Linked DNA regions of Drosophila melanogaster. The protein of the gene in region 3 purifies or fractionates together with the protein of the main gene of each other region. This does not show direct contact. Each region holds a gene or a part of one and is shown on either strand. Other genes may lie near its edges.

Region 1 (7,118 bases), on a different chromosome or scaffold from region 3:
AGTTCCGATATGGAAAAACAAAGGCCTTATCGTTAACTAGCCGAACCCAGGATTTAGATTAGATGTTGATAAGATACAAGAGTAATGCGGCTCATTCAGTTGTGTTTTTCGTGTGTGTACTCGCTTGTTTATTGTCCAAATCAGCTGATAAGCCGCAAGTACTTGGCCATTATTGACAATTAATCCATTTATGGCGTTGCCCCCATGGAAAACACTTTCGTTTTCACTTGGCAATGCGATTTGTACTTGCATTTATGCAATATACATATGTATTAACTTGGCTACTCACCTTCAAAACACGCGAATGCAAACAGCTGCTTATTGATGATTATTATTACTTGATTTTTGCTCGCACTGCTGCTTTTGTCGCTTATTTCCGATTTCAGCTGCTAACTGAGACTGTTCAATTGTTCAATTCGAACAGCAAATTTATGCAGCGATTAGCTCGAGTTTGAGTTTGTTTTTGCGGCTGCGGTTGGAATAAGAGAGAGAAAAAGAGAGAGAATAATCAGAAATGCAATTGCAAGCAACCTTGAGATACTTTTGTTATCGTTATCGCGGGTTAAACGGTCACTGCATTTGCCAGTTGAACGAACTTTAACCGCATCTCTCGCGTTGAGTGCGTTTCGTTTGAGTGGATTTTGCTCTCTTCTCTATCGACAGGGTTGACACCTAACATTTTTAAAAGAAACAATCATGGTCGGAAGAAGAAGAGAAATTATATTTATAAATGCGAAAGCACGTTGGTTTTGAAACGTCCTGCACTCAAAAATAATCGATAAGTCACTCAAAAATAAAGTTTATGAGCGAACACACGCATTGAAAAAGCATGTAGGCAACTAATACAGACGCAGAAAAATTAAAATTCCAAAAATAACTCATGGCGACGAATAGAAACGCAAAGCGAGTGACGAAAAAAGGGCCACCAGGCGTCGAAAGTGAAATGCGTACCCTACTATTACGAAATTCGTAGGAGCTTATTGGTTTCAGTATACGCTTTAAAACTATTTAATACTTTTTTATGTCTTTCTCTCTATTGCTAAATCAAAGTTTGTTTTTAATTTTTATTAAACATGGTTTCTTTATTTTTTAATTATCAAATTATTAGCAATTACATACATAAACGTAGATGTACTTAAAATTTAGTTGTATTCATCAGTTTTTGTATAATAGTCTGTGTGGGCGTTGCATTTGTTTGGCCGGCGTAAAACGCGACCACGCCCACCCATAAAAAATGCGACGGATCGCTGAGCCGCTACGTGTACTTCCATTTTCTTTCGTTTTTCTTCTTTGTTGCTTTTGTAATTGTTGTACATTTGTGTTGTTGCTGTTAATGCTGTTGTTGTTGTTGCTGTTCTTATTGTTGCTCGTCCGGTAAAATGTCTGCAGGAAGCTCAAGAACCGGTCTAAACCGGGAGAAAGCCGTTTTGGTGGATCGTAAACCCTATGGCCATGGCTAAAAATATATATTGCTGGCTGGTTGTCACTTCCGTAGGCATGAGTCTATATATATAATGTATGTATGTATATGTATGTATAATGTATAATGTATTTTATGTTGATTGTACAAAAAATACTTAAATAAATATGTCTGTTGTCAGGAGCGTTTGTTTTCTTTAGTTAATCCTCTTGACCTGTATCTTATAAATCACTCACTACGTGCTCGTTGTTTTTTTTTTGTTGTTGTTTGCTGACGTCGACTGGTTTATCTGGGATATAGCTTAAAAACTAATTTACTAAATATGTAGGTGGAGCGTAAGTACATCGAAAATATTGTTTTTCTTGCAATATTTTCAAAGTTCTTGCCGCCGCGAATACAAGAAGTGAACGTCTTACGTAAATTCTATGTGGCATAAAAAAGAGGCAACATGCCTCTCCAGTTTATACCAAATAAAGTTTACAATAGATTAGTTAACGCGGAAATACAAAAACATCGAAACAATAAACTATAGAATTTGTTAAGAAAGGGAAAACGAAAGTGTACAAACGAAACGAAGATTCAGGATGTCTTCTACACAAATGTTTTTGATTAAATAATTGGCGCTGCGGCCACAAAAAATAACTTAGCTGAATAATAAATCTCTGTACCTCGGTGTGTGTGTTTTTGGGTTCTAAATTATGATCTTCGTGTGTGCTTATTTTGTTTGTCTTGTTCAGCAAAGAGGAAAGAGTTGTGTTGTGCTGCGTTTGATTTTACATAATGGCGCACTTCTCGTTTGACTGCTGAGGATCGCCCTGCTGGTGGTAGAGCTGCTCATTGCCGTCCACGGCGGTCACGCTGCGACGACGACTCAGCCGGGAGGAGGATGTGTGTTGGGACACAATGCGCTTGATGCGATCCAGATTGGCCACGGCCTCGCCCTCGGAGTTCAGCAAAATCGTCCTAGTGTTGTCGGCGGAGACCCACTTCTGTGACTTCATCACAAGGCTCGATGGCGGCTCGTGCGAGGCCTTGGTGTCCGCCGACCAAACGGTGATCACGCCATTTGGCTCGATCCTCACCGATCGATGGAACTTGTAAGTGGTCGAAGGACCTTTCTCGTTGATTAGCCGCTGCAGCTGCCAGCCACCGATGGCCACCTCCTCGCTGCCCTTGTTGAACAGCCTTACGAACTTGCCCTCGGGATCGATCTCCTTGATCTCCACGTTGCCCTTGGCACTGGCGGACACATAGTAATCGGCGACGCTGTGATCCTCCGACTCGTCGACCACGGCGCGTTTGCGCTTCACGGCAGCAGAGGGAGTGCGACGCGATGGCGTGGCTCGCGTGGAGTTGCGCAGCGACTGGCTAAAGGACTGCACTGTGGCCGTGTTGGTGGCTGGGGTGATGTTCAAACGAGCCTCCTCGCCCACCAGCAGCTTGTCGTATGCGGCGATTTCCAAATCCAGGGAGACCTAAGCAGGATAATTAGATTTATGTATTAATACGTACACGATTTTAGACAAGTATTAAAGCTAACCTTGATGTCCATAAGGTCCTGGTACTCCTTGAGCTGTTGCGTCATCTCTTCGCGCAGCCGAATGAGCTCCTTCTCGAGAAGGTCTATCTCTTGACCGTGGCGTTCGCGATCGTTGTCCAGCTGGCGCTCCAGATCACGGATCCGCGCATTGAGGTCGGCATTGGCTTGCTCCAGTTCGTTGATATTGGCGTTGAGCGCATCGATACGCACACGAGTGGAGCGCAGCTCCTCGATGGACTTGTGCGTGGAATTGGATGTGCGTGCGGCGGCCTCTTGCAGTCGTTGGATCTTGTCCTCGTAGAGGGACTGGATTTCATCGCGATTAATCTGCATCTGCTCCTCGTACTGGGCGCGCAGCTCCTGCAGCGACTGCTTCAACTTGGCATCGTACTCGGAGCTGAGGCGACCGTCGATCTCGCTATACTCTGTCTGTTTGATGCGGCGCGACTCATTGATCTCCTGCGAATGGATCTGATCCTTGAACGAGAGCTCCTCGCGCAGACTCTGAATGGTGTTCTCCAGGTCAACGCGCGACAGTGTCTCCTGTTCCAGGTTCTTCCGCGTTTCCTCGAACTGCTTACGCAGTCTCTCCAGCTCCTTTAGCGCCTCATTCAGGTCTTCGTTAAGCTTCTTCCGATCGGCGTTGGCCTGGTTGTATTTGTTGTTCAGCTCGTTGGCGCGCGACTCGTACATGCGGACATTGCCTGCGGGTTGGGATAATCAATCAATTAATGTTCGTTAAATGCCAGAATAGGGATGATTTTGTCACAGAAAGTGAGGAATATCATGGGATAATCATTATATACAGTTCAGCAACTAAATGAATGTTTCGTTCTTGCTTGAAACCACGCCTTTTGTCTCTTCTTACTTTTAATTTTATCATTACTCTACTTTCTTTGCCCTACAATTATAAGGTTTTCTTATCGATTCAGTTTCCACGCACTTACCCTCAGCAGTGGTGCACTCCTTGGTCTTCTTGTCCAGCTTGTTCTTGAGCTCCTCGTTCTCCTCCCAGAGACGCTTGATATCGATCTCGGCACGAGCGCGATCCCTAGCTGTGTCATCGAGCAGACGGCGCGTCTCCAGCAGCTCGGCCTCGAAGATGTTCTTGATGTTGGTGGTCTCGCGTGTGACCGTGTCCCTGGTGGTCTGCACCTCGATGGTGAGGCGGGAGTTCTCCGTCTCCAGGTTGCGCACCCGGTCAATGTAGGTGGCCAGGCGATCGTTCAGGTTCTGCAGCTCCACCTTCTCGGCCACGCGCGAGTGCCGGGTGGGGCTGAGGGGGCTGGAGGCCGTCTGCGAGTGAGTGGACGGCGGCGGCGGCTGCGGACCCGCCGATGGCGGCCGGGGGGTGGAGGTGTTGCCGGGCTGCGGCGTGGCGGTGCCAGCACGTCGGGATTTGCTCGACATGTTCACGCTGCAAGACAAATGAAATGTGCAGAATAACACGTGAGATTTTTGTGACTGACCTCTTTAGGACACAACACTTGAAGAAAAGTTGAATAACACAATTGCGTGCCTTCTAAACGCGTTTTATATGCAATACTTATATTTGAACTTTTTCGTTCGGTGTAGGGTATGTTATTTTTGCGCCCTGATAAAATTCCAAACAGAACCGAACACGAAAGAGGGGAAACGCACAAAACGCTCAAAAACAGAAGCTAAACGAGTTTCTCTAACGCGCTCTCTCTCTCTCTCGCAGTCTCCTCTACGTCTCACTCACACACACGCACATCGCTTTCCACTCAAGCGACTGTACTAAAGCGGACGAGGAAAACGAAGTGAGTTTGTCGGCGTTTGTTTATGGGCGTGGAGGCAAATGGCGCGGCTAATACTAGTTTAATCAATCGCAACGCTTAGCTAATCCAGTCGACGCACTTTAAACGATTTGATAAGGAGCCAAAAATTGCACAATATGGCGATTTTAATTCAATATTTACAGCGACTTTACACTAATACAGGCAGGGGGGTTATTTCGATTTTGAGTGAAACAGTGCCGCCTCTATTGTTCGGCACTTAATCAGTTATTTCAACTTTTTCTACAAGTTTTCCTAATGCTCGTAGATAGCAGCGCAACTCACCTGACTTTTTATAACGAACGGAAAATGCACAAATTTGAAAATGAAGTATCTTGCAGCAGGAAAACGCGGCCGACGCTGGAACGTGTAATCGAATTTGTTGCGATGGTTTCAGAGACTAATCGATAACTTTCCGGCATGCCTGGTGTGACCAAACGCCGCGCTAGATAAAAGACTAAGAACCGCTTGACCCCAAAATGATAAAAAAAAAATTAAATTTAAGCTCAACAAGCCATTTTAATTTAAAGCGTTAGAAGGCATATATTTTATAAAAACTTTTTAGTTGAAGCTTACAAATGGATTTGTTGTGCACAACTATCGATAACTTAACGATATCACCCGGCTCAGCTCGCATGAGTTCTTAAACGTACTTCGGTCACACTGCTCTGCGCTGTTTTTTCCTCCGCATCACGTTAAAGATTTTAAAATAGTTAATTTCACTTTAAAAGCTGTATTTTAAAGTGATAAACGTGCACAAAAGGTGAGTTTGACACTGAAAATCACACTGCACTAAATAAAATCGTCGCTTGTAATGGGTATTTCGTTTTATTTCGAAATACATGTAATGCGGTGCGGTGAAAAAACAAAATGGCGGAGGGAACGCCGGCACCGGTTCCGCAAAAAAAAGCGGCATTTTCTTTAACAAACACATGTAACTTATCTAGTCGCACCCATTTTATTTCCCAGCATTTAGTTGCGAATTTATAGCCGATAACTAGTTAAAGGTAAGAAAGCCGCAGAAATGGCCGACAATGACGATCTTTTGGACTACGAGGATGAGGAGCAGACCGAGACCACTGCGGTCGAAAACCAGGAGGCCCCCAAGAAGGATGTCAAGGGCACCTATGTGTCCATTCACAGTTCCGGCTTCCGCGATTTCCTCCTGAAACCGGAGATCCTGCGCGCCATCGTGGACTGCGGCTTCGAGCATCCCTCGGAGGGTGAGTACTTGCACTCCACCTGGAGTGACGAAAGGTACAGTCACTAACGATGCTCTCCGCTTGCAGTTCAGCACGAGTGCATTCCGCAGGCCGTACTGGGCATGGACATCCTCTGTCAGGCCAAGTCCGGCATGGGTAAGACCGCCGTCTTCGTTCTGGCCACGCTGCAGCAGCTGGAGCCGTCGGACAACAACACCTGCCACGTCCTGGTCATGTGCCACACCCGCGAGCTGGCCTTCCAGATCAGCAAGGAGTATGAGCGATTCTCCAAGTACATGCCCACAGTCAAGGTGAGTCTACGTTTTAATCCATTGTATATAATTCAACAAAAAGTTTGGTTCGACTATATAGTTACTATATATTAATTCGATATGTTTTCTATTTAGGTGGCTGTCTTCTTTGGCGGAATGGCTATTCAAAAGGACGAGGAGACCCTCAAGAGCGGCACCCCGCATATTGTGGTGGGCACCCCTGGCCGAATTCTCGCCCTCATTCGCAACAAGAAACTTAATCTGAAGCTTTTGAAGCACTTTGTGCTCGACGAGTGCGACAAGATGCTGGAGCAGCTGGGTAAGTTGACTAATAATCACCAAATGACGGACGTTTTACTAATAACCAAACCATTCTTTTAGATATGCGTCGTGACGTTCAAGAGATTTTCCGTAGCACGCCGCACGGCAAACAAGTGATGATGTTCTCTGCCACATTGAGCAAGGACATTCGTCCCGTTTGCAAAAAGTTCATGCAAGATGTAAATATCAACGTGTTCATAACCAAAATGCTCGTACTTCTCCACCTCGCATCCACCGCTATCACGACAATTAGTTATTATTTTGTTAATGCCACGCGATATCGAACATTCGATCTTGATCCCCTCCGTATAAGCCAACCACCATCTTGCAAATGGTTAAACGCGTACAACCAAACGTCCAGCGCTCTGTGAGCATAACTCGTATCGAAAAACTTAGTTAATGACTATCGGACACCATTTTCTAAATGGTTAATCGTGGAAATTGGCAACCGTTGCAAAAGCATAAACAAGCAGTAACCGCTGAATGAATCAATTGAAATCGCAAAAGATTTAACAATACCAACGCTAGCAAAAACCAATACCTAAATAAAACTACAAGCAAACAGCA
Region 2 (5,837 bases), on a different chromosome or scaffold from region 3:
CGACCCGACGGCGCCGCCGACGTTTTCCCATCAAAAGCTCCGTCTCCCACGCCCCGATTTCCATGGTCGCGGGTGCTCCCGAGGGTTCCGATGGCCTCCGAGGGTCTGGAGCCGAATTCGACACAATCAATGATTCGCTGCGCCCGTGGATGCGGTTGTCAGGAGGCGATGGAGCGCGATTTTCAGCCAGAGACCAACGGAAATCGAGACCGAAATCGAAATCGATGCGGCAAGTTCAAAGCCCGCACAGCAACAATGTAACCTGCGAGAACGTTCCACCGATTTGATGTATTTGCTTCGGATAACACAGAAGCAGCCGACCGAAAGCCATTAGAAGGTGCTGAATCTGATGGCATCCACCCGTCTGGTCCGTCTCCCATCTGTAATAACTTGTTTGAGCAGACTAATTGCCCCCGCTGGCGGTTCTCGAGGTTCCCGGGCCAAAACCTTTCGATATCTCACCTAATGGCTTGGATTTTAGCGGCTGAATTAGCGGCAATTAAGGTGTTACAAGGTGATCTCTGTTTGGCCCGAGGAAAGTTCTGATGATAAGCATAAACAAAGGTTACGTGTGAATTTAGATAAGAAATTGACGATCACAGACCTTTAATTACAGAGGTTTAAGAGCTAAGAACATTTTTTAAGTTATTTATAAAAGAAAATTTCTGAATTTTAAGTAGTATACTGAAATGGGTTTTAAAATCCCCTAGGACTTCCTACAGCATTATCAGCCATCTATAGTTCCTTCACCTCCGAGTTACACAGTTCAATTAATACTGTAACTTCCTGTATCTGCGTGCCCTTAAGATTACCCATGTAACTGGCTAATTGTCTATAAGAGCTAACTAATTGGCCACGCTGATACAAAAGCCGGCTATAGGCAGAGTTGGCCTGGCCAAATAGAGATAGACAGGCCCATACGAAGAAAGATGCAATGGAATGCAGTTAATGCTGCAGACCAAAAGCTGAGCTGAGTCACATTAAGGGCCACCTAGGAGAACGAAATCCAAGATTCCCATCACTACCCACTCAGAAACGCATTTTCCAATTAACGTGGCTTATCTAAAAGTCGATAGATTACCGACCTGTATTTTGACAGTCCCCGCGCAGACGAATGATTAAACAATTAGCTGCGAGACAGACTCAGACACGTTCTGTAGATTCAGAGATCGAGAGGCGAAAAAGTATCCCCCCATCAATTACAGCGAATGCAGGGGGAATGCCGAAAGGAAAGGCTGTGATCGTTACACTGGAAAAAATCTACTTTCGTAGATTTGGATTCGATTGTATTGCGGCAAGGAAAAGCGTTCAATCTTCTGCCCAATCCGAACATGACCTGCCTTTCTTCCAGTGATACTTGTGCTCTCCGAGCTACAAAAGAAAGTGAAAAACACTGCTGATAGGGTACTGGGATGGTACCTTCTTCATGGGAGTCGCCGTTTACACTTTCCCAAGCCAGCACGCAATCAGACAGAAGGCAGAAGTGGGGAAAACCCCAATCAAAGCTGGCTGGCTGCATAACTTAAATGCAGAGGTCATCATCGGATGGCGGATAGTGTGGGTTGTTTGTTTGGAAAGCGCTGGGGACTCCGCTGGCGATGGCCGGGCGATGCCAATAGTCAGATGGATGGCACACGGAAACCCACATCACGGCAGATGTCCGAAAATAAAAGGCCGAGAGAAAGAAGTTAACTGTGGCTTATTAACTGAAAATGAAAGCGTTTGCCGAAAAGACAAAGACCCCTCAGCATTCGGAGAGGCATCAGCGCAACCGGTTTTCCGGCCCAGCTAATCACAGCCCCAGTTTTCATCACTGTTACAGTTCCGCATCTGAAGTCAACACCCAACTGACCTCTGACGGGCCGAAATACACATAAACTATATATATATCTTTAGGAAGACTCATAAAAAATAATAGGAAATATTGCTCAAAGGATACAGAACTTAACACAAAGTCGAAAGAATATACACGGGTTGCTAGCTTAAAGGTAGTCAAATTGCATTTGCGTGCAATGTACAATAAATTATTTGTGATTAAAACATGTTACTATAATTGTAAGGAAAAACGACATTAAAATGTCATTTGGGGTTGGCAGGTTCATTAGGTTATCAATCCAAATTGTTAGTTGATCAATGTTGTATTGAACATTTCCACTTCTATATAGATTCTAAAGATTGCCAGTTGTGTGCAGCACGTTAATAAATAAATGTTATAACATTAATAACTATGACTATAGATCAATTTTAGTTCAAATATTTTCAGCATGATTTAAAAAATAATAAATTAAAAATTCAAGGAATAGAAGATTCATACTAAGTTAATTTCCGTTAATTAAACAACTGGCATAAACTGCAGGAATATTAATTTCCGCTAACTGTAGCCGTGAGAAATATGTATGCATATTGATTTTTCAGTAGGTCGGTCTGCTTACCTCTGTTGATGACGCTGCTGTCGCCGCTGCTGCTGGCGCTGTGGTCCGGCTGATCCACAATCACGTCGTGCTGCGGGGGGAGGGGGATCTGCTCCTGCTGCAGTTGCTCCTTAGGCGTCAGCTGATCCGGGCCGGAGAAGTGGACGCTGCCGTCGCGATGGAAGTGCAGCTCGAATCCGGTGGGCAGGGCGGCCTCGTAGTCCGCGGCACAGGTGTGCGCTTGTACGGCCACCTGGTGGTAGAGCCCGGCGAACTGGTGGATCAGGGCCCAGGCCTGGTCCTCGGAGAGCGGCGCCTTAAAGGAGTCCAGGATGTCGTGCAGCGTGACGCACTGTTCTGGCGAGGAGCAGCGGTGGAAGGCTTGCAGGATGAGCGGGCGGGCTTGGCCCGCCTGCTGGGGATGCGCACTGGAGGACATGGCCAGCTGGTCCGCTGGCAGCTTGTGTTGGGCATCGCCGTTGGCGCTGTCCGGCGATGTGGACAGGAAGGCGTCTTCCTTCGCGTCCTTGAACTTTCCACTCGGGGTGGGTGTGGGCGTGGCCTTGACCTTGGTGGGCGGCGTGTCCGCCTGCTCCTCGGCCTGGTGCTCCGTCATTATGTGTGTGGGCGTGTGTGGCTATCGATGGCTTTCAACCCGATTCCACTGCAAACCCGGCACTGGCCAACATATAATTGATTTTTTTGCCTCTTTCGGGTGGGCTAACCTGCAAAATTCGCGGTTTGTTTTTGGTTCGATTTTGGTTTAGTTTTGTTGTTGTTGTTTTTCTGTGTTGTGTGTGGTAAATGGCAAAGGAAACTTTAATACAATAATAACACAACACGAGGGGATGGAATTCGGATTCCCGACGTACACGATTCTAATATTTTGTTTGTCGTCAGCTACATTAAACACAAAGCACAGGGTATAACAAAAAACACATGATTTTCGCTTGAGAATATTTTAAACTGGCGTCACGTTTTTGTTTTCGCACTTCTTAAGTCGGCATTCGCAAATCGCCGTTAGACTCTGCTAGAAATTTCACAACACTGAGGAGATGGAAATCACGCACTTTGCTTTATTTTTATTTTCTTCTGTTTCATTTGCATTTCTTTATTATTTGAAATCTCTCTGTTTTTCTTCGGCAATCGCACTTCGTTTTTTCTCACCGGCTATTTTTTACACACGTCCGTTCGCCGCGAGTTGCTAATCGTAAATGACACTCTTGTGCTCAAATGCATGCAGCATGCAACAATGTTACCAACTTAAATGTTGCCGGAACGGCCGTTCCAACTTGAGTTAAGAGAGCATTTTGTTCGTACAAGAAGAGAAATATCTTCGTTGTGTTCTAAATGAAATTTGAATTGGAATTGAGGGATTTTTTTTTTAATTAAAACTGTTCTTTTGAAGACAGCTGATTCACCTAATAATAAGATCACATCAAAATGTAGAGTCAATTCGACGGAGAGCGAGAAAAAAAAAACAAACAAGCCCGCGGGAAAAACATAAAGTTTTCTCTTTTCAAATTTGTTGCTTCAAAACGAAAAAAGTGAATGGTCTCTTGTTATGATATACTCTCTTTTTCCGTGGAAACATGCATAGCAACAAGATGATGCAACATTCCCAAATGTTGCAGACTAAAGTGTTGCCGACTAAAATGTTGACGGATCAGCCGTTCCAATTGGAGTTGAGGGACAATTTTTATTCGTAAATAAAGAGAAATTTTTTCGTTGTCTTCTAATTGGAATTAAGGAATTTTTGGGGAGCGACAGCTGATTTACATAATATAAACATTGATTACAAGAATATATTGTAGTATGTGCATATATCGAGGGTACACTGTACCTATAAGTACACAGCAACACTTAGTTGCATTGCATAAATAAATGTCTCAAGTGAGCGTGATATAAGATCACCCATTTATGCTTTAAGCTAAGTCAGCATCCCCACGCTGGCCGCTGGCCATATATGCGCATAAGCTCTCTCTCTCTCTCTCTTATACATATATATATACGCTGCTCTTCTGCCGCTGTCGACGGCGGCGCAGTCGCAGTATTTAGGTAAGATTAGACACTCTGTAGAGGTTAAGCGGGCAGAACCGTTTCTGCTACTCGAAGAGATAAGAAGAAATAAAAAGGTGGCCTGACGGCTGCACCCAACTGCAAGGAAAACACGTGTTCTCAATTGGTGGCATATATTGGTTTATTACATGGCGACCGTGAGGCAGGAGCCTGCGATCTGAGGACTACTGAGGAAATGCTGCTAATATTGCCGATTTGATTTGGGAATTCTAAACAGCGACAACAGGTGTGAGAGGCAGGCCGCCCCTTACACCAGTGCGGGAGACCTAGAGACGGGACACTGATGAAAAAAAAAAGAAACAAAAATACTGAGTGAGTAGAGTGTGGTAATGGGCAAACGCGGATGTCAGGAAATCAAAAATAAAGGTATAGCACATATTAAGTGGCTATGATATACAAATAAAACACCGCCCCCATGGGCAACGGCACCGAAATTAACTGCCGAATTAGACTTTCTGAAAGAAAACCTCCAGCAAAGAAAGCCGAATACCACAACTCACTCAGCAAAAATAGAAATAATCAATGAAGAAATAACTGAAAATTCAACATCACCCAAGCCGAAAAGACCCGACGTCTGCATGAACGACTGCCCTCGACCATTGTAAGCCGCAACAGCAATTAGCACGGCATCCTGCGAGGGTAGGATTAGGATAAAGGATAAAGGATTCCACCGGCGCGCCGCACATGACAACAGCGAATGTCTACCAAGCAGACGTTCGAACACCCTGCTCCTGTCGAGCAAAGGGATCTGCCAAGTATCAAAGAGGTAATAGAGGTAGATCCGTCCGCGGGACCAAAGCCCTTGACCATACAAGAGTACAAGGCACGGACTGCAGCGAGGGAGCAGCCACCTAAAAAGAAGAGGGGTGGCCGCCGGATTAAGTTGCTCAGCGCCCGGAGGCTCAACATCGAACTACTGAAGACGGCAACTAATGAGGAAGACCGGCAGCGCTACAAAGAGCGCCTTGCAGCCATCAATCAACAACTTCGTGGTGCGAAGTAAAGCGGCGGGCTGCGTTATACGCCATAGCCTCAACCGCCCAAATATTATATTAATGTTGTCGATGCGGTTTCCGCTGCAACAAAATTACTAACTTATCAGGGACCCATTTCATAACTAACACATTATACTCAGTCCTAAACTTAAAATAAGTAATAATATTGTAAAATTGCAAATTGCAACCGATGTAAACTGAGTATAATGAATTCATCTATCAAGTAAAAATATGTTTAACAACAGTTTAGACCTATTAAAATTTCGAGCTATATTTATATCTGATCGAGATAACAATAATTGACCAATTCTCAAAGTTAAAATTCTATTTGTACTTTTGATATACAAATAAA
Region 3 (4,983 bases):
TCGCCACCGACTCTGCCGTAAGGTGCTCGAACACCCAGTGGGGCACCCGGTTCCTCCGATCGTAAGACAGCACGTAGTCCGAATGGGAGCGCACGTGATCGAGTCCGGGAAATCCATACTTCATGATCTGTCCGATCCGAGACGGAGTTGCCGTCAAGCTTACATTGTTCTCTTGGGCGGGAATCAAACTGGCAGCCGAAACAGTTCCAAAGGTGGGCAGACCAGGCAGCCGCGGAAGGCCACTTGTGGAGCCATTGTGCTGGCGTTCGCGTTCCACGTGGGTGCCCAGATAAAAGGCGCCCAGGGCGGTGGCACCCAAAGCTAATACGCCACCCACTCGAGGAGCACTCATTTTGGCAGTTTTATTTAAAAATCTGGACAAAAAGACCAGATAGCGACCGCTATTGCACAATTCAGGTACTTTAGTGTGACCACAGTTTAAAGTGGTCGAACGAACTACAGTGAAAGACATAAATATATGCACGGATTGCTAAATTTGCTTGGGAAAATAAGTAAGTATACTATGTATATTTCATTAATGTATTAATAACTTAAAAAGGCGACGTGTGAGCTTTAACCGTAGCCCAAGTCGCAAATGGTGGTACTTACCAATTCCATATAGATAGATGGGCTTCGTGAACAGCAAGATATCCGAGCTCGAATAACTCGTCGTGGCAGTTCAAAATTCCAGGGCTGGATATCCCCTCGTCTTATGTGCTCTAATACACACTCGGCGTGTAGCAGGTTGTAAGAAATTCGCGTTTAAAATCAAATAACTTAGTGGGCGCTGCCATGTTTTAAAATTTATTCGATAACCGATCCCCGACTTAAAAGGAAAAGTGTGACCATCAATTTATAAAATTTAGCTTATATTTTGTAAAAAAATTGTTGCTTCTTTGTTTAGGAATTTTTAAGAAAAAGCAATTGTGTCGCAGAACAAAACGATGGCTAAAACAGTAATTTTAAAAAGGCATACAACACATATAAAATTATTTTTAAGGTTAAAGAAAGATTTTTATAACAGAATTAAAATCTTCTAATTTTAAAGCAATATTAGGCGAACCCAAATACATGCCATTGTACAATGTAGAATTTAATGTTAAATCATCTCTATGTTAAAATAACAAAATATAAACATTGTCAATTGGAAGAACGATTCAAAATAAGCAACTCGACCTAGATGAATGAAATAGTACAATACATGCCATTTTGTTGCTGAATGATAAGCTAAGATTTTGTTGAATTTTGGCTTAGTTGCATTCGGAAATATATTTACAACATTTTGAGCACACCCTCCAAGCACCCAATTTATAACCAGACTTTCTTATCTCAAACCCAAGCCAAAGATATTACATTGTATTGTGTGTATAAAATCCGAAGAAGGGGCATTTATTTCGCTAAAGATGCGCGTGGAATCGTGAACTACATGTAATCTCTTTCCGGTCCGGGGGCCACCTGCCGCTTTCTAGGATCCCACGATGATGTTGTTAATGGGAATGTGAATCAGCTTGACGAAGAAGCCGATGAAGCCCATGATGGCGAAGCCCACGGCGGTGGCGATGGCGATTTTCTGGAACTCCTTGCGGTCGGGTTTTGTGCAGCGCTTCACCAGGCGGATTGAGTCCTTGGCGAAGGCGCGTCCGGGTTCGGCGAATTTGACAACCTTGTCCATTTTTGATTTGTGAGTATTTAACTAAGAATTACCAATGAACTGAATTGATATTTATTTTGCTGCCGTGTCGCTTCTTGCAGTGTTACCAAGTTCCTCAGCTCAAAACATACTAAAAATTAACGCCTTTCCTTTAGTTGTTAATAAATTTTTTTTTTGGTTGAAATATAAGTGTATTTGAATTATTTTAATTTATTTTGAGTTTTTCTTTAAATTGAACCCATTCAATTATTACTTTGAAGCAAATCATTTAATGAACAGTTTTTAACAATTGATTTGGGCACACTACCCTACCCTAGCGTCGATGGAGGAACGGTGGATTTTTGAACATATGGACGTTTTCTATTTATTTATTTTTTCGTCATTTGGAAGTGAATTCCAAATTCCGTGCTCCGGAATGGCGTGCTTATAGGCTTACATTTGCCTAATTTAGTAATGATCCTGAATAAATGATCCCCTGATTAAAAAAGTTCTCCTAACAGTGGGATGAGTTTGAAAGGTATTTAAAAATGCCGCCTTCTCTAGTAGAAGTACTACAGCCGATCCGTGTCCTTAACTGCTTTATTAACAGTAATAGTTTTGGGAGACACCGCAGTTTATCTGAGGGTTAGTTTATCTGAAGGTTAGTTTGTTTCCTGGTGGTTTGTTTATCTGGTTAGCTTATCTGGGGTCTAGTTTACCTGAATGATAATTTACGTGGGAGTTAGTGTAACTGAGGGTTCAGTTGACTGGTGTTTCGTTTAGCTAGGGGTTAGTTAATCTGAGGTTTCGTAATTTTAAAAGAAATCCATTTAATTATTACTTTGAACCAAATCATTTTTAACATCTTGTAAAGCTTTTAGAGTTGGTCACACTACCATGAACAGCAGTAAAATTGCAAATAAATATGTAATTATTTGGCGATAGAAAAATGGAGGAGTCACCTTACCTGCACAGCCCCTACCAGGTGGCCATTATAGCCACCGACCTGCACCACGAGGATACCATAATCCAAGCAGCCCAGTCCCTGGACTGTCTACACAAAACCATAAACTCGATTTTCGAGCGAATCGATGCCCGCTTGGCGAGAAATGGTTCAAAGGTTGAGGACATAAACAATCGTGTGAAGCGCGCTCAGGCAAAAATCGATGCGCTCGTTGGCTCCAAGCGGGCCATCCAGATCTTTGCACCCGCCCGCTTTCCGGCCAGCGACGTCCTGGCACCGCTGCCAGCCACCTTTCCACAGGTGGCAGCCAATCCCCTAATGGAGCAGCAAGTGGACCAGCTCCCGCAAGGGACGTACAGCAGTCACAGTGCCGCGGACCAGAAGCCGGATGATGCGGACATCTTTTTCCATGTACGTGGCGATCGGGAGCAGGAATCGCCACTGGTCGCCGAACGGAAGATAACCAATCGGACCGCTGGCCTGGGCATCCTGCCTGCGGGTGGAGTGCGCTCCGTACCCTCGCTCATGCGATTCAATACCAATGAGTTCGCCTACGGCGAGGATCTGAATGCCTGGAAGCGATCCCTACCGCCGCAAAATGCTCGACGCGTTGCCAGTCAGTCCACTCAACTCACGGGAGAAAAGCAGCTCGCTCCGGCACCTCATTCGCTGGCCCACGGCACCACCAAACTGGCCACTCCAGCTGGGGACCTGCGCTACAATCCTGCTGCTTTGGCTGCACCCGCCATTGATGTTCCGCTGGACCTGCCCGACCTACCGGGCATAGCGAATGATCTGCAATATGAGCCAGTGGAGGAGCAAACACCAATAGCGCCTTCCCAGCAGTTCGGTGATTTACCAGAGCTGCCGGATTTGGGCCTCGAGGAGCAGGATATAATAGTGCAAGCCATCGCGGCACAGACGCACATTCCGGGACCGGTGCGTAGGAAGAGTGTGGGACAATGTCCTTCGCCAGTTACGGCGGCACCACCGCCTCCTCCTCCGCCACCACCGCCGCCTCCACCTCCTCCACCAGCGCAGACGAGCGCAATTCCATCACCGCCACCCTTTCCCACCAAAGGAGCTGTGAAACCGCTCTCCCCGTCGTTAGCAACACCTCTTAACATGCCGCAGCCGCCTCCAGCTACTGAAGATCCGCGATCTGAGCTTATGGCCGCCATAAGAAACGCCGGTGGAGTGCATGGCGGTCGTCTGCGGTCGCCTGCGGCTGCGCCGCTCGACGTGGTGGACAACAGTCGCTCCAAGGCGGGAGGCGCTGTCACGGGGGATTTGATGGCAGACCTGCATAACAAGCTAATGCTGCGACGCAAGGGAATTTCTGGGAGCCAGAATCCCGTGGAGGCCACTGCTGGCAATCCCCTGATGCAGCAGCTCTCCCGCGTCATACCGCCGCCGGTGCAGCCCCGCAAGGGATCTAAGTCGAGTGACGAACACTCCGAGGACGACGAGGATGGGTGGAACTAGTGAATATTTAGCTTTAGTACCGGTTTAAGTGCCTTGGCTGGCTTAAAGCACTAGCAACCTAGGTTCTCTAGCTTAAAGCATACAAATTTCTAAAACGAATTCCAAATTCTGTGCCCAAGCGAGCATGCCAAATTAGGTCAAAGTCAACCAGTTGAATAAAACTACATATTAGCAGAAATGTGTGTAATTTCTTATTGAGAACATTGGCTAACTTTAATTGATAAAATTACAGGACAATGAAACATTTTGTGATGCTAAATGAAATAAAACAATTCTTTATACTGACTAAAATAAACTCGATATTAAATTATAATAAAACACTAAATTCTAGTTTTAGATAACAGCTATTTTCCTATTTGAAATAAACGAATTTCCCTGTTAAATCCTTAACAGCGCTGTTGTGTTGCTCTCTGCCAGTGCTGTAAAATGCCGCAGTGGAATCACATTTCGGGTAAAAACAAATTGAAATATCCACCGAATTTAAATATTAAAGTTAGAGAAGCTGCCAAATATCTGGAGTTACAATCAGGGACAAGGACAAGGACTACTACACTAGAGGAGAGCTTTTACAAGCAATCCGGTGAAACCACATATAATGACAAGTCCGTCGCGGGATATAAACGATCTTTTTGACGATATTGTCCTGACCGAGGAGAAGGAGGCACGTTTGGGCTACGAGGAGGGACTGAAGGACGGCCAGGAGCAGGGCAACGAAGAGGGCTATAAATTGGGCTACGCCCAGGGAGTATCCCTAGGCGAGGAGCTCGGCAAGATTCTGGGCCAGGTGGTGGCCCAGCAGCAGCTGAAACACACGGACAAGGTGCGTCGCAGCTTGGAACAGTTGCGTTCGCTCATCGAGGAGTTTCCCCGCACCAACGATCCGCAGGCGGACATAGTGGGTGCT
Region 4 (5,410 bases), on a different chromosome or scaffold from region 3:
AAGTATCTACAACATAGGCCAAAAATGTACACTGCAGCAGGAATGCTGGTTCACTTCAAAATTGACTTCCAAACATAATTTGTATGTATCTCGAAAAATGAGCAATGCAACCTCAATTTTGCACAAACCACTTTTGGGGGTCTCGAAAAATTATTTTTTGACCAAAAAAATGTGCGTGCTGCGACAAAATGAAAATTATTTTAAATTATAGCCGTGCCACCCAATCCAGCAGCCACCACAACCACATATTACCCCAAAAATGCCAGAGACAGGTACCCCAAATGAATTCTGGTTGCAGTGACAACACATTTTGCACGTTTTGTAGATACAAATGGGTCTAATTTTTATTTGCCTCTAGTTAATTTCAACTGTGAAAAACCATTTTGAAAACGGTGAGTGTGGTGCGTGGTTAAAGATACAAAAATCAGAACAAGTTTCAAAGAACAATTCTAAAAGTATTTATTCATAAAACAATCTTTAGTTACTGATTCTGTTGAGTTTTCATTTTTAAGCCGCATAATGGTCAAAAGTGTGATATTTTCTGGATTGCTATCGCGATTCATATAGCAGTGACACCTCACCGACACAGGGACTCACCCACACCGATACCTTCGCACACACACACACACACACACACACACAAACGCGCCGAGGGAAAGACAGAGACAGATAGACAGTTGGGGAACATTCGCATCGGACACCGTTTGCAGAGCTGCAACTTTAATTGCTTTGGTGGTTTGTGCCAAATTAGATTCTGCGGTTTTGTCGCGTCGCCATTCCGGTAATCGAGGGTGTACTGTACAACGGGGGTCAGAGTGTGATGGGCAAAGTGGGGTATGCGGGATGGTGTCTTGGCCATGGCCTTTTCCCCAAACTCCGTCGAGCTGAAGCCAAAAGCTGACGCTGACGCCCATCAATTAAACTTGTCAATGAGAATGCGATGCAACAGCAGGAACAGCAGAAATAGCGACAAGAACCCGGGGAATAAGAACTAATGGTGACGGTATGGGGGACTTGGAGCTTAGAACAAGGGTTATTGAAGGGAGCTCGAAACCAAACTAAATCGACTGAAAGTTAACTACATTTCACCCGCTTCGCTGGCATTCAAATTAGGTTTCTGTTCGAGACGTGTATATTGGTAATTTGATTGGAGTTTTAGAAATTGAATTCTAGCATGTTTCAAGAAATAATTATCGGCGATGCCACGGAAATCCACGGAACTCTGTATATGAGTTGTGCCAAGAAGAAATGTTTAAATTGTTTTTGTTTATAAAAACTTCTTCTTAAAGGTCACTTGAATATTTAAATTTGCCACAGGCACCTGAAAATACTTCCAAATGCAATCAGCATGGTCCCAGGTATAAGTGGCTTTACATACGCAAGTCGTGCAAATATTATTCCACTTTCCGTTGAATTTGGAATATTTGCAAAAGAATCTAAGGAAAAATGCCTGGCGTCTTTCGAAATTTCCATTTCTCGAAAGCCGCCGGCCATTGACATGACTCTGCGGACTTATCCTGTTGTTCGGTCCTGTCGTTATGGACTCTGTCCTATCTACTATCTTAACAATTGTGCGCACCAAGAAATTGATTTATTTTTGTTTACGCCAAAACAGCAAAAAGTTTACCACATTTTCTGCTCCTTCTCTCCAACTTGCCGTTGGCCAAGTTTTAGTTGGCTTATTGCGTTTGCACTGAAAATCAGAAGTATGTTTCTCAGGATTATTCAATATTTTTCTAACAACTACTTGGCATTTAATTTCTGATATTCCCACGAGCTAAGTAGAATTTTTATTTAATACCTTTAAAGAAGTATATTTAATAGTACAAATTAGACCTAATTATCTTCTCTCTGTGCAGTGCTTTGTTATCCGCTGCTTGGGAACAGTCGGTCTAATCCTAATGCTCCCTAATTACATTGGCCAGCAAGTCAACACAGTCTAGGCCAAGTTTCCCCGCTGCCTATTTGAGTTGGTCATGTCGCTATCTGCTTTCCAGCCCTCTTATCATTTTTTAGACCCATCTTAAAGACACTCCTAATTATTGGCCCTCTGGCGCACAATGCGGCCAGTGAACTGGCTGTTCTGGATTTCTTTTTTTTTTGCCGTTGAGCCCTGTTTATGTGGTTCGACGACACCTGGCGACATCAATTAGGGGGCAGGAATGAGCTCTTCGAAATGGAAAATCGTGGGAAAGTGGCGCCTCATACTGGCCGACAAATGTCAAGATGGCTGCAAATCTCTTTTGCTCTGAAAATCTGAGGTGTTGATAAAGGTGCGATTGAAAAGTTTGATCAATGATACTATTTAAGATTGAAAAGGGTTTCTCGTTATATATTTAGGAAGCAATTTTTCACACTTATTTTTATTTAGTTTTTAATCTCTTACAGTGCCTGCATAATTTGTATGCTTTTTATGCGCAAACATACAGCGCCGCAGCTTAACAAGCATTTTTTTATTTATTTCCCTCATATAAAGAATAATTTTTTTTCCTTCTTCCGCACTGTGGAAATTTATGAAGGGCCCTCGAAATGGCCTACGACCTCTATTCTGCCCCCAAACACATTCCCCAACCCCCGTCAGGTTGCAGCTGGGGGGTGAAAAAAAAAAACGTGGAAAACATCAGACGAGCAAAATGGCGAGCAATAAAAATAATTGCAAAATTCGAGATTCAGGTGGGGGCATGCGGCACGCTTAAAGTGGCACCTCTCTTAGCCACGCCCCCAAGTTTCCAAACCTCTCGCCCCTATTCCACACTTGGCAAACAATGGTGAACAGTGAAACAAAATGTTCATTGCAGTGTAAAATCTGCGAATCGCGGTTTTCTTTTTTTTCACTTTTCCCTCGGTTTGTGTGTGTTTTCGCGTTTTACAATCTGTTTCGCAACTCACGTAAAATATAAGGTAATTTGTGGAAATTTGATGTTTATCGTAAATTGTTTTTTATTTGCACAATGTCACCATTTTGCGGTTTGCCAGCAGCGCAAACTCACACACACACGCAGACTGACAAGCAACACACACACAGGCACGCATTGGTGGTCAGAGTTGCCAAGCAGTCAAAAAATAAAATTCCACAAAAATTGAGTTTTAAAGTTGCGAAATAATTGAATACACTTTTTAAAATCAAAACAAAAATCTGTTAAGTGCAATGATTGTTAAAAATACTAGTGTTGTGCCTAAGTTGTAGTAATTAAAAATAATATATATGAAGATTATTAATTATATATTATACATATATACTGGTCTTTAAATCTGATAAATCATTAATGGTCATTGTTGTTTAATGCTCAGATAGGCAAAATATATTCAGTTTCTGTAAGAATATCTGACAGTCGATCTACATTTTTCCACCTTAATTGTGCGCACCGCAAAAAGAGCATAGATAGATGGTAAAAACAATTGCAAACATTTTTCAATTTACCTGCATGGCGGAGAGGACTTTCCTCCTTTTGTTGTTTACTCCATTTTTTATTGCGTTTTTCTGTGGGCCCAATATTTTGGGCTTAATTGTGGCACGAATACCCCATTGCAGAAGGGCTAACAATGTGATGGCTATGACCATCATAGCCGGATAGAGCTCTTCCATTGGATACACAATCATCTTACCAAAACGATATACAACAAAAAAAAGGAAACGAAAAATTACACAAATTTTGACAGAATTTTGTATGCCTAACCCAATTGAACGGTGTAGACGAACTGCTTGTTTTAAATTTCATTTTATTTACTTTATAATTATCGTATATTCTGATTTACATTGTATAATATATCGTATATCATTACTGTCTAGGTTTACAATTAAAATTAGTTTAAACTTTTGGTTTCGCACTAAAAAGGTCAGTAAAATGTTTCAATCGCCTGGCGTGAACATTTCTGTTCTCTCGGTTCTTTTTTTTTTTAAAAGCAGATTTAATAGTTTACATTTAGTTTGAGTAAAAATTATAGAACGAAAATGGACAGTTTAATATAGTCGCAGACTTAGACTAAAGTTATTGGCTATTTTGATCATATTTGGTTTTGGATTACCAGTACATCTTTGTTTATATCTAGGTGGATACTTGAAAAATGCGTGGGTGGTCTGAGTTTGTTCGGGGACTAAATAAAACTCCTTAACTATTTTTAAAACTATTTTTTTATTATACATAGTTAAAAGTAAGATCATTAATTAAATAAGAAATACCATTTATAGATGTATCTTACTCAACGCCACAGTAACCCATTCATAAAAATGCAGATATTATTCACTATTCTAATAAATATTTTCGATTATGTTTTAAACACATTTATTTCAAATTAAATTTCTAAACTCTTTGGTTTACTCTGTTTATCTATTTACAATGTCCTTAAATCTTTAATATCCATTAAATAGTTTTTATCGCTAAGAGAAATTTATGTAACCTTCATTCAAAAACGAAATTATTTTATTTTACTAAATTCCTTGCTTCCGCTTGCAATTATTCAAATAAAATACTGATACATTTTTCATTTTTAATGCTCACATATTACGTTTTTATTTTGTTTGTTAAAAGTATCAATTATGTGGATTTATTACTCAAATATTTCATAACAGAGCTAAACAAGTATTGGATTAAAGATAATTCCCCCTTCTTTTATACTTTGCTGTGCAATTAAATATTTTGTGTATTTTTACAATATCACTGAGTGCTCAAGGGTTTTACTAACAATCGAAAGCAAGCAAAGAATTCTGTACAACTGATTGTTTTTACAACCCATTTCGATTTTATAATTTTAGAGCGAAAAAAGAAAGCAAAAAGGAATTTGTATCATTTTTGTTTCATCCGCAAGTTGGGAGAAAGTTTTGCTATAGTTGGCTGATGATTTTTCGGTAATCACCTTTCACAAATGAAGGTGAAAAGTAAATAAAAGTATTTGTATTGAACTTTTCACCCAGTTGTAGTTTACAAAATCGGTTTTAAGCTTCCCGCAGTTTAAAATTTAATTCGAATTCGTTTTGATGTCTGTTGATTATTCCATTTGCCGGCTATTATGATTTTATTTTAAAGATTTTCTCTTTTTGCTAAAAGATACTGTTTCTATTTGAATTTCCATATTTTTGCGGTCTTGTATGACGCTGTGTAGATATTTTTTTTGTTAGCCTATTTTTATGTAAATGCAACTCACTTGGACTTTTGACTGGCAGTACTAAATTTTCAAGTTTTTTTTTTAGCAGTTGCAATTTAATGACTCCATGTTCTACTATTTACAGATTGCACAGTAAATAAATTGATATTGTGTGCTCTGATTTTGCCGAGCTGAATTGCACGGAGCTCTTTGTGCAATGGCAAATTAATTTGCAAATTTACACAATCTAATTTTAGGTCACCGAGGGACCCAGACGACCAATTGTTAATTTGTAATTACAATTTTTGCATTATTATTGCTTGCCGAC

The links.
Region 1: the proteins of wash (region 3) and Lam purify together in Drosophila melanogaster (affinity purification with western blotting; 2 studies listed by BioGRID, with this or other methods). This does not show direct contact.
Region 2: the proteins of wash (region 3) and spir purify together in Drosophila melanogaster (affinity purification with western blotting, with the first as the bait; one study listed by BioGRID). This does not show direct contact.
Region 4: the proteins of wash (region 3) and capu purify together in Drosophila melanogaster (affinity purification with western blotting, with the first as the bait; one study listed by BioGRID). This does not show direct contact.

What each region holds. Positions count from the first base shown.
Region 1 is NT_033779.5:5,540,584-5,547,701, reverse strand, and holds Lam (lamin), read right to left. Parts: upstream 5,223-7,118; 5' UTR 5,042-5,222; intron 4,924-5,041; exon of another isoform or gene 4,378-4,923; 5' UTR 4,371-4,377; coding exon 3,908-4,370; intron 3,665-3,907; coding exon 2,961-3,664; intron 2,896-2,960; coding exon 2,194-2,895; 3' UTR 1,060-2,193; downstream 1-1,059. Other genes in the region: Hel25E (helicase at 25E), read left to right, coding at 5,781-5,979, 6,046-6,269, 6,366-6,549, 6,612-6,730. UniProt on the Drosophila melanogaster protein: Lamins are components of the nuclear lamina, a fibrous layer on the nucleoplasmic side of the inner nuclear membrane, which is thought to provide a framework for the nuclear envelope and may also interact with chromatin.
Region 2 is NT_033779.5:20,309,010-20,314,846, reverse strand, and holds the start of spir (spire), read right to left. Parts: upstream 3,629-5,837; 5' UTR 3,028-3,628; coding exon 2,433-3,027; intron 1-2,432.
Region 3 is NT_033778.4:12,178,122-12,183,104, forward strand, and holds wash (washout), read left to right. Parts: upstream 1-2,371; 5' UTR 2,372-2,419; intron 2,420-2,501; exon of another isoform or gene 2,502-2,504; 5' UTR 2,505-2,579; coding exon 2,580-4,079; 3' UTR 4,080-4,252; downstream 4,253-4,983. Other genes in the region: EndoG (endonuclease G), read right to left, coding at 1-352; CG8860 (uncharacterized protein), read right to left, coding at 1,466-1,672; CG13175 (uncharacterized protein), read left to right, coding at 4,675-4,983. UniProt on the Drosophila melanogaster protein: Acts as a nucleation-promoting factor by activating the Arp2/3 complex to induce actin polymerization. Participates in both linear- and branched-actin networks.
Region 4 is NT_033779.5:3,899,174-3,904,583, forward strand, and holds the start of capu (cappuccino), read right to left. Parts: upstream 3,688-5,410; 5' UTR 3,422-3,687; intron 1-3,421. UniProt on the Drosophila melanogaster protein: Acts as an actin nucleation factor and promotes assembly of actin filaments together with spir. May play a role in intracellular vesicle transport along actin fibers, providing a novel link between actin cytoskeleton dynamics and intracellular transport.